Linked DNA regions of Daphnia pulex. The protein of the gene in region 3 interacts with the protein of the main gene of each other region in a biochemical or structural test. Links are inferred from orthologs where the notes say so. Each region holds a gene or a part of one and is shown on either strand. Other genes may lie near its edges. The genes, in order: methylosome subunit pICln-like, serine/threonine-protein kinase RIO1-like and protein arginine N-methyltransferase 5-like.

Region 1 (2,553 bases), on a different chromosome or scaffold from region 3:
AATAATGTATTGTGTGTAAAAACCTCTCACTATTTTTTAACTAATGAAAATACCTTATGTTTTAAATCCATCAAAACATCAATATCTTTAAGAAACTGCAAGACAGCAACATCCTTTTTGTTGAGCTTTTGAAGTGCCAAAATCTTCTGGGTTTCACCAGAATATAAGTCATTTTCGTCAAATACAACTTGGCCTAGAATAGAAGTGAAATCATCCTTCACTTGATCAAGAGTAGAGGTGATCTCTAGTGGGTATCTGGGTTCACTCAACTGGAGACTTTGCACACCCTCAACAACAACAGCAACTGAAACTTCTGGGTAATTAAATGGATTCAAGACTGTAAGTCCATTCCACGAGTCACCCTGAAAACAGCAAATAATGGTATTGCTTCAAACTGATTTCATCATAGATACATCAAGTTGCAATATCACTCCTTCGTTTGGAACCAAACATATAGTTCCTAATCTACAAAGTTATAAATGAATGAAAGAACTTACAAAAGGTGTTGTGTGCCCCATTGCAGTGGAAATAATTTTTGGCAATTCACTTGTATTCAGCTGTTCATCTCCCCTAAAGTTGACTCCATTAGGGCTGTGCAAGATGCTGAACTCTCCATTTCCCAGGACTGCATTGCAACAAAACACTTCAAAAGCTGTAGTTTTCAATCGCTAGAAAATAATTACCTGAGGTTAATAGACAAAATACGCCGACAATTGATGCCACTTTCATCTTGCCTTCTTGTCTGGTCAACAGCAGCTGCAATTGCCTTTAGAAAAAGTTTGACAGTCTCGAGTCTCGTGACAGCTAAAGTCAGGTGATGTGTTCGTGGTTCATGATTTAGTCCCTAGATGACGTTTTCATTGCAGCCTACAATTTTTTTTTAAAACGTTGTGCTGCTGACAGCGTGATTCGAATCATATTTCATTTTCAAATTGTTGCTCTTCTTCTTTTCTGAATTCGTTAAATTTCTTAAAAAATGGTTGTATTATCTTCATTTCCTCCGCCTACCGAAGGAATCAAATTAGTTCAGCCTAATACTGGAGCTTTCATCAACACCAGAGACTTGGGCCAAGGAACATTATATATTGCAGAAAGGTTAATTTATATTTATATTCTATTTAAGTTTTCGATTACAAGAGTCACGGAAAAATAATTTTACCTATTCCAAACCATTTAGTCGTGTATCATGGGTTAGTGCCACATCTGGCCAGGGATTTTCGCTGGAATACCCCCACATATCGTTACATGCTGTTTCAAAAGATCCTTCTGCATTTCCACAGGAATGCTTGTACTTGATGTTGGATTCAAGGCTTGATGAACCCGGTAATACCCAATTCTATATTTATGTTTAAAATATCATTTGAGAAAATGTTATGTGAGATGTGTTCATGTTTCCAGGTTTGTCTGATTAAAGTTATATTTTTAAGATGAAGCTTTAGATAATCAAGATTCTGAGGATGAGGAATCTGAAACTGATATGTCTGAAGTAAGGTTTATTCCAGAAGATCGGGGACTTCTTGATGCCATGTACCATGCCATGACAATATGTCAAACACTCCATCCTGATCCTAATGATTCAATTTCAGATGGTAATATTTGACAAAAGGCAAAAGTTTTGCAGATTATTGTATTAACTTTTTTTTTTATTTAGAAGGAGATTTTGAAGATACTGAGGAAGGAGAATATTGCCTTGATGGAGCAGAAACAGCTGAAAATGGTAAATCTGATATAATTTCATTTAATTGATATCCGACAAATATTTATTGTTTTTCTCAATGTGCACCTCAATTGTTCGTAAGATCATGATAATGGTGAGGCGGAGAACATGGAGTCAGACATGGGTCAGTTTGAAGATGCCGATCCTGAACATTAACCGCACATATTTCCCTTATTCACGCTTTACTTACTATTGCTTTCTTTGAAATTTTAAATAATAAAACTTCAAAGCATAGGAGATAATTAATGTAAAACAATTTTTGGTGTCACCTCACTGTTCGATTGCCATGAACGCGAGTATTCTCGGTTAGTTAAAAAAAAAGAATGCGCCCGCTCCAATATTATGTGTAGATTTTAAGCGGGAAGCAAAAAAAAACTGTATGTGTGACAAAAAAAACAAGTTTAATAATCTTTAACTTAAAAATATCGCTGCCACAGTAAAGAAAGCATTGGTTTTCTTTAAAAAAAGAACTTCTTAAGGTAACTTGAAATGAAAAAAATGTGACGTGTTTCGACAAAGCGTGCAGAATGTTTAGCATTTTTTCTGAGGTAAAGCTTCGGTTGACGTTAACATTATGTGAACCTTCCACTAGAAAAGACAAGATCGATAACAGTAGTGCTACTCAAGAACGCCTTTTGTGGTCATGGTGGCGCTGTAGCTTGGGTTGTATCAAAGTTCAACGTTCTCAAGCCTCTCGGAAAGTCTCAATATTGATTCAGTCTCGAGTTTAGCGTCTCACGCATAGCACGACAGACTTTCTCCGCTACATCTCCCTCGGTGGTAATTATTCTCGGTACTCTGCGCCAGCGCCCCATTCCCTGACTTATCCCGCGAAA
Region 2 (3,758 bases), on a different chromosome or scaffold from region 3:
GAACTGTCATGTATGCCGGAAATCCACGCCAGATGAGGGTTGAAAGAGTGGCAATCGATAAAACACGTACGACTCCCACGCCGTCACCAAGGTAACTCCCTACCTGTTCTCTCTCTTAGTTTTGATGGAAAGGCGACGCTCTCTTTGCGTAACTGAGCGACCAGCGACCTCAGCTGTTGTTGACGAATGCGTATTACCCAGCGCGATATTTCCACCATCAAACGCACAACACACACACGGATATTGGGTGCACAATTCAGATTCACACGCGCCATATTCTTTTAGTTGCGCTCTTACACTACACGTAGGGGGTCGTAAAATTGATTTTTCTTTTCTTTCTTTTATTCTATAGTGCAAGTGTATATGTAACACAATAGGTTTCCGGGGTCTATACGTTCGCCATTGTTTTTAAAAATAGGCAGGCAGGCAGCTAGGTAATCATTCAAGCGCAGCGGTGGTCAACCTTCAGTTTATTTATAGCTAGCCAACAATTCGTAAAGGGTACAACACGTCAACACTATTTCTTATTTATTTTAAATGTCGTGTCTACCGAATATTAACCAGCAGGCATGCTACATCGTTCATTTTCGCTTTGCTTTCACCTACTTTTAAATCATATCACTCAAGGAGTGCGTTTAGTCGGTCACGGAAAGAATATCAATCAAGTGTAGGCGCCTGTAGACTTTTTATTCAAAGAGTTACGTGGAAACGTAATCCTTCCTGTCTAATTCTACAAATGATATACAATCATACATCCATTGTACTAAAAGAATTACTAATTAATTTTCTCCTTTTTTTAAGGCGTCGAACAAATGAAAAAAGATTTGTTTTGTTTTTTTTTTAAATCCAGGTGTATTATATTAAAGAAAAAACAAATTTTAAATTACAGTTAACAACCTGATACAAATTAAGCAGCAAGCATTTGCAGATTTTCTCTTCTTTTTCTAATTTTGCCGTTGCGAAAAGAAGTATATATGCAATTGTTGGCAATGTTGCACACGATGTGGCAGACGAATTTTTATGACACATGAGAAAACAAATTTTATTTAACCATGGCAGTCCACGTGGATTTTTCTGATTCTTCTCCTGTTGAAGGACAATTTAGCGACGTTGAAGATGAAAAGTAATGCAATTTTTCATATTATCAAGTTATTTTAATGTAATTTAGTGCTTTTATCAGAGACTCGAACGTTGCTGAAGGTATTCGACAACTTAATCTTGAGACCAATGACGAAGTGCCGCCCGTCGATGAAAATAACGAAGTCTATTATTCAGACGATTCTGAAATGAGCGATGACGATTGTTACGATTGGCAATATGGTAACAACATAATGTTCAAAGCTTACTTTCAATTCGTTAACTGACAACATTTACTGCAGATCAGGGGCCTCAAATAAAAGTACAGGGAGCCCAACCCAACCAACAGACTAGTTCCAATAAAGTGGTTTCTTTCCAGCCAAGAGAAAAGCTATTCAAGAAATATTCCCAAAAGATTAATGTGGACGAGTTCAAAATGCCTTCGTTGCCAGGTGATGACAAGGTGCGTCTCAGAGACAAGGCAGACAGAGCTACTGCTGAGCAAGTTATGGATCCCCGGACAAGAATGATTCTGTTTAAATTAATGAACAGAGGATTTATCACTCAAATCAATGGTTGTATCTCCACTGGAAAAGAAGCCAATGTATATCATGCAACAGGAAAAGATGACACACATTTGGCCCTCAAAATTTATAAAACATCCATTCTTGTATTCAAAGACAGAGACAAATACGTCACAGGCGAGTTCAGGTAACCTTGACACCTTACAATCTTATTTTGTTTATGTTTGTGGCTCACTAGTTTTTTTTATTGCAGATTTCGACATGGTTATTGTAAGCACAATCCCCGTAAAATGGTTCGAACTTGGGCTGAAAAAGAATTGAGAAATTTATTGAGACTTGAAGCAGCTGGTTTACCATGTCCCAAACCAATTTTGCTGAGAAGTCATGTGTTGTTGATGACTTTCATTGGTGATGCTGGTTGGCCTGCCCCCCGACTAAAGGTATACTGAAAATATCCGATAGATTACACGGGTGTCGAGATTTAATTTGATGCTTTTATACTACAAGGAAGTTGAGCTGAGTGAATCGAAAGCCCGTGAGTTATATCGAGACACAATCATTTTGATGCGGCGAATGTTTCACGACTGCAGACTCGTTCACGCTGATCTCAGCGAATTCAACATGCTGTAAATTTTAAACTTGTGTGATTATTATAGACCCACGCTATTTATTATCTTAATTACCAATCCTAGGTATCATGAAGGATCATTGATCGTAATCGATGTGTCTCAATCAGTAGAACATGACCATCCGCATGCTCTTGAATTTCTTCGTAAGGATTGCACTAATATTACCGACTTCTTCAAAAGAAACGGAGTTTGCGTCATGACAGTTAAAGAACTTTTTGATTTTGTTGTTGATTTGACTATCAATGAAACCAATATTGAGGTATTTACAATTTGGAAAACACACTTGTATTTTTAGTGACACATTTTGAATTCCAGGACTACTTGGATAGAATGGCAACAGTTTCTTCCGAAAGAAATATTCAAGGAGAGTCTACAGCGGAAGATTTGGTGAAAGCAGAAGTCTTTAAACAGACATATATTCCTCAAAGATTAGATGAAGTGAGTGCGCGCCCTGGTTCATTTTCTTTCTTTTTCACTAACCTCAATATTCCGTCAGGTCATGTTCTTTGAACGAGACATTAGACAAATTAAAGCGGGAGAGAAAATTGAATTGAACTACGCGAATGTAACTGGAATTAAACCAGACTTGTCAGGCCCAAAGCAAGTTCCAGACATTTTGGATAATTCTATTGTGGACGGAACTAGCAGCGATGAGGCATCTGGTGAGTCTGATTCAGAAGATGGTGAAAAGAAACAATTTGTGAGCAGTGCACGACCTCGCGACGAATCCCCCAACAGTCGAAAGGTAAATTTTGCTGCTAGGTTTTTTAACGTCTAACTTTACCTTGAAATTCGTTTGGAATAGGAGAGGAAAAAGGCCATCAAGGCTGAGCAATCAGAAAAACGGAAGCAGAAAGTAAAGAAACACGTCAAGAAAAGAAAGGAAAAACTCGCCAACACCAAAAAGTAATTACCTTTTTTGATAAGTGTTTGCTGATGTATTTTTTCGACTCAAATAATATGGGAAATTTACCAAACCAGAAGGTTTTATTTTTTAATTCCTTATAAAATCACGAATCTTAAATGTGTATTGAATTCCCCGACCGAGATTAAACATATGATAGAAACTCTGAGATTACCTGAGAAAGAGTTATAGATCACAACAGATATGAGAGATAAACGTTGACTTTGGCATTCAACCCGTACATGATTCCATAATAACATTACGATACGTTAGCACTGATAAGAAAAATTAAAGCAGCAATAGCAACAACTGCTCCGAGTGATGCAGCACTAATTGGAACGAAGCACAATTTAGCCGTTCCTTTGTGACATGCAATGAATGTCATGAACGAATCCAATTTTTGAGCCGGAACATCTTGAAAGCCGAACGGACGAACACGTATCCTCATTCCTACAGAGCGCACGTTTCGACTTGCAGCAGTAACATACGCAGCCTGTGGTAAGGAAACAAATTCGAATTACTTTTCCTGTTGTTCTTTTGGATGTTAAGAGATCTTACAGAAACCAGTGGAGCTATGGAAACAGTAGCCCACTGAACCAACAACATTATCACAATAAAAGAGTG
Region 3 (3,758 bases):
CAACGATCAATGTCTTCAGCATCAGGCAAATCAGCTGTGAGTTCCAGGGCCAGTGAGAGTTTCTTCTCAAAGTTTGCAGTAATGCGAAAGTTATTCCACCAATGCCAAGTATCATCAACTTCTTCTTCATCCACATCCCTTTCAAACAGACTAGCCTCAATTTTCGGGGAAATCATGGGGAGGTGGAGCCAAACATGGTACCTGGCCTAGGCACAAAGTGATAATTGAATCGTCTGCAAAAAGAAAATATTGGTAATGAAATACCTGATTCATCGGTGAAGACAACACTTTGTTGTGCATAAATCTGGCAAAATTTGTGTTGTTCTTTCTCAAGGGGACAAGGACAGCGGGGAGACCCAGATGTCCAGCAAAGGACAACTCTTGCTCCAGCATTTTCTCAGATTCTTGCCGCAGCAACTTGTCTTCATGATCCAAATCAATGTGTGGAGAAATCTTTCCAACAATGAGCGTGCTCCAGTCTTGAAATGAGATCATTCAACTTTCAATTAGGGGATCACTCGGCACACATTTATACTTTTTTTATCTTTTATACCTGAGCTGTTCAGAATGAGATCAGCTCGAGTGAAAGCTGAGAGACGTCGAGCTTGAGAATTTCCGGAGAAATCTCTTTTGTGTCTCGGATGGGCGATTGGCAGTGCAGCGAAATCATACCTGACGAAATCAAAAGTATTACGCTGTTAGCAACAAGTGACTGGGGCAATTTCTTGTGAAATTAATTTCGGGAATCAAATTAATACTTGGATTCTGTGGCGATTTGTAGAGCATTTGTAATATCGGCAGGGGAAACGAAATCGAGACCGCACGAAACACGTTTTGCCATTTTTGTAGTCGGTCTTCTGAGTGGCTGCGTTGCCAGATTTCTTTTCTTAAAAACGATTTTCGCACACCTACTTTTGTTTTTTAATTTAATTGAAATCGACATTTATTTTAAAGACGCTAATTTAAAATATTGTATTAACTGTTTCACTTGGCTGCCATCATTCGGGAGGGGGGAAATCATCATAAAAAACGGGCAAATGAAATCGCTCTGCGACATGCTGAAACACGTTTAAAGTATTCCACACCAAATATTTCCAAAAAAAAATCGCAATTTGTAACATCAAATTTTTGTCTAAATTTGCGGTGCAAACGTGAAAAAAATGAAACAAAAAAAAAAGTCGTACAAATAAAACAAAAATAAAATTTGGCATCGTCGATCCCACCCGAAATTCAAATTTCTCTTCTTCTTCTTCTCTCTCGCAGGAACTTGTCTAATTAGAACTGAAAAATGAATACTACAAACATGACTACCATCAACAAGTGCTCATTAGGTCACGAGTTTGTGTGTGTTTCTTTCAAAAAATAGACACGGGCGAATTTCTCTTGCTGGCGTCTTGCAACATAATTGTTTTAGTTTTTCTTTAAGTATCGAAAAATGTCTGACGCTTCAAAAATCGCCAACCGTAGTTGTTTTTTCTCAAACGAAGGTAAACGTGGGAAATGGGGTGTGAAGAAAAATATGAAACGACGAGATCTCACGTGCCCACCAGACAACAACAACAACAACAACAGCAAACAACTCCGTCACATCACTTTTTGCAACACAACAAAAAATTTTCACTTGGAACTTGAACAAAAGACAATCGAATTAAAAGAAAGAAGAAAAACACAATTAGAGATATACAAGTTTTTGTTTAGGTGCTTGTCAAGTCCTTTTTTGGGGGATAACGTCCACCTGGTTGCCAAAAAATGTTTGCCGGTCCTTGCGAAAAATCTGCACGTCACACTGACATTTGGGATCATTTGATACTTGTGGTAAATTGGCCGTCGGACGTGTGTGTGTGTGTTCTTGTTGCATGACTAGGGCGTGCGTCTGTACGTGTCACTGCCGAGGAAATTTCGATCAAAAAGAACAAAAAACAAAACAAAAAGGCACATGTAGGTGTCACGGCGCCACACCTTGTTTCCAACATCTTGCGTGTTGTTGTTGTTGTTGTCAAACGGTTCGAACAGAAATGAAGAGTCGATGGTGGGTGGTGGTGGGGGAGGTATACACGTTCGTATTTTCGAATTGAATTAATGTCACTTTTAAAAATTAGAAATTAATATAATTATATATAACCTATACGTGTGTGTGTGGGTGAGACTAGCTGATCACTACATCCATGTCGAATCAACATCGAAAAAAACTAAAACAATCAAAAGACACACAAACAAATGGGACACGGAACATAATCAAACATAATCCAAAAAATGGAAAAACTAAAAATAAAAATTGAAGAAACAAACAAACGACATTTTGGCATCTGGCCTAGCTGAATTCTTCTTTTCTTTTTTAAAAGGGAGGCAAACATGAAATAGCTTTCTTTTTGTAATCTCTCTACAATAATTTGGTAATATACTATGATTCAACATAACAATTAAAGAAGAACAAGACACGTGTAAATGAAAAACAAATAAAAGAAAAGAAGCGGATGAAATATTCGTCCGCTTCTCCGACGACAGAGACGCCAAACAATTGTTGTGTCTATATGGGGGACGACAAAAACACACGTACGAGACACGCAGGGAGTAAGATACACGATGAAAAAAAGAAAAAAAGGTTTGACAAACAACGTGAAAACGAGAGGAGGTTTGAAATTGTTTTTTTTTAAATTTGTGGTTGGTTGGTTGGTTGGTTGTGGTGCACACACGGACACACGGACACAAGGAAACCTAGAAGAAGAAGAGAAAATCAAATCAAAAACAACATTCGATACGAGAGACGAGAGACAAAAACGTTACAGCTAAAACATGTAGTCAACGACAAAACCCTGAGATAGACTAGAAAATTTCAATCATTTGAATTTGAGCGGGAAAAATGAATCGAGAAGAATTCAAAAAAAAAGGTTTAAATCAATTTGTTTTCTCTATTTGTGAAATATTTGTGAAATAAAGAAATTTAAGAAGAACCAATCACATGATATGTTTATAGGCTTTGCACTTTTTTCCATAAATGTGACTAGGTTATTTGGTCGCATTTCAAATTGAATAATAATAATTATTTTTAAAAAATAAAATGAAAACAAAAAAAATTTAAAATTCCCAACTTACTACCAAGAAAGGGGGAAGGGGCAAGGCGTGTTTGTCCAGTCATTTGAAAATTGTACGTTTCTTTTTTTTTGTAATGGGGCGGTGGCTTGTTGCGTTCAGTGACATCAACAAAAAAATATTTTTTTCTTTTTTTAATTTTTTTTTCGAATTTCAAAATATTTATTTCTCTCCCCCCGAGAGTTTTTCTGTTTCTTTTTTTTTAATAAGGTTTCGAGGCGTCTTTGGAACGTTTCAGCTGGACTTTGAGCCGTTTGGTGCCGATTTGAAAGCCGTTCATGGCTTGGATGGCCGCCTGGGAGCTCATCGGGTTGTCGTACGACACGAAACCTAAAATAAGAGAAATAGAATTCATCAAAATTTTCCGATTAAAATATAATGTCATGTCAAATTAAATGGAAATACCGAAACACTTTGACAAATTGGTCTGCTTGTCGATAAAGACTTTGGCTGATAGGATGTTGCCAAAGGGCGAAAAGGCTTGACAGAGGTCCGTGTCGCCAAACTCTTGCGGCAGGTGGTAGATGAACAGGTTGGATCCTTCCGGCCCTTCCTGCTGGCGCAATCCGCTACCCGTCACGCTGCCGCTGCCACCCAGGGGACTGACACTCCCGCCGTTGGCGCCATTCATCCCCACCTGGCCGCTAGTGAAATTGGGGAAAGCTAAA

Evidence for each region.
Region 1: the proteins of protein arginine N-methyltransferase 5-like (region 3) and methylosome subunit pICln-like form a complex in vitro, tested with the Homo sapiens proteins (5 studies listed by BioGRID and IntAct, with this or other methods). The link is inferred for Daphnia pulex from reciprocal best matches to the Homo sapiens genes PRMT5 and CLNS1A.
Region 2: the proteins of protein arginine N-methyltransferase 5-like (region 3) and serine/threonine-protein kinase RIO1-like are reported together in a solved structure, tested with the Homo sapiens proteins (2 studies listed by BioGRID, with this or other methods). The link is inferred for Daphnia pulex from reciprocal best matches to the Homo sapiens genes PRMT5 and RIOK1.

Annotation. Positions count from the first base shown.
Region 1 is NC_060018.1:1,925,734-1,928,286, forward strand, and holds methylosome subunit pICln-like, read left to right. Parts: upstream 1-789; 5' UTR 790-976; coding exon 977-1,095; intron 1,096-1,177; coding exon 1,178-1,323; intron 1,324-1,427; coding exon 1,428-1,589; intron 1,590-1,651; coding exon 1,652-1,717; intron 1,718-1,799; coding exon 1,800-1,873; 3' UTR 1,874-1,970; downstream 1,971-2,553. Other genes in the region: renin receptor-like, read right to left, coding at 54-362, 498-625, 684-729. UniProt on the Homo sapiens protein: Involved in both the assembly of spliceosomal snRNPs and the methylation of Sm proteins.
Region 2 is NC_060022.1:121,867-125,624, reverse strand, and holds serine/threonine-protein kinase RIO1-like, read left to right. Parts: upstream 1-992; 5' UTR 993-1,052; coding exon 1,053-1,123; intron 1,124-1,180; coding exon 1,181-1,320; intron 1,321-1,379; coding exon 1,380-1,788; intron 1,789-1,854; coding exon 1,855-2,041; intron 2,042-2,108; coding exon 2,109-2,227; intron 2,228-2,293; coding exon 2,294-2,489; intron 2,490-2,545; coding exon 2,546-2,668; intron 2,669-2,726; coding exon 2,727-2,975; intron 2,976-3,035; coding exon 3,036-3,140; 3' UTR 3,141-3,207; downstream 3,208-3,758. Other genes in the region: uncharacterized protein LOC124195509, read right to left, coding at 3,394-3,627, 3,693-3,758. UniProt on the Homo sapiens protein: Involved in the final steps of cytoplasmic maturation of the 40S ribosomal subunit. Involved in processing of 18S-E pre-rRNA to the mature 18S rRNA. Required for the recycling of NOB1 and PNO1 from the late 40S precursor.
Region 3 is NC_060023.1:12,078,895-12,082,652, forward strand, and holds the start of protein arginine N-methyltransferase 5-like, read right to left. Parts: upstream 2,530-3,758; 5' UTR 944-2,529; coding exon 759-943; intron 673-758; coding exon 554-672; intron 480-553; coding exon 265-479; intron 207-264; coding exon 1-206. Other genes in the region: CUGBP Elav-like family member 1, read right to left, coding at 3,293-3,420, 3,496-3,753. UniProt on the Homo sapiens protein: Arginine methyltransferase that can both catalyze the formation of omega-N monomethylarginine (MMA) and symmetrical dimethylarginine (sDMA), with a preference for the formation of MMA.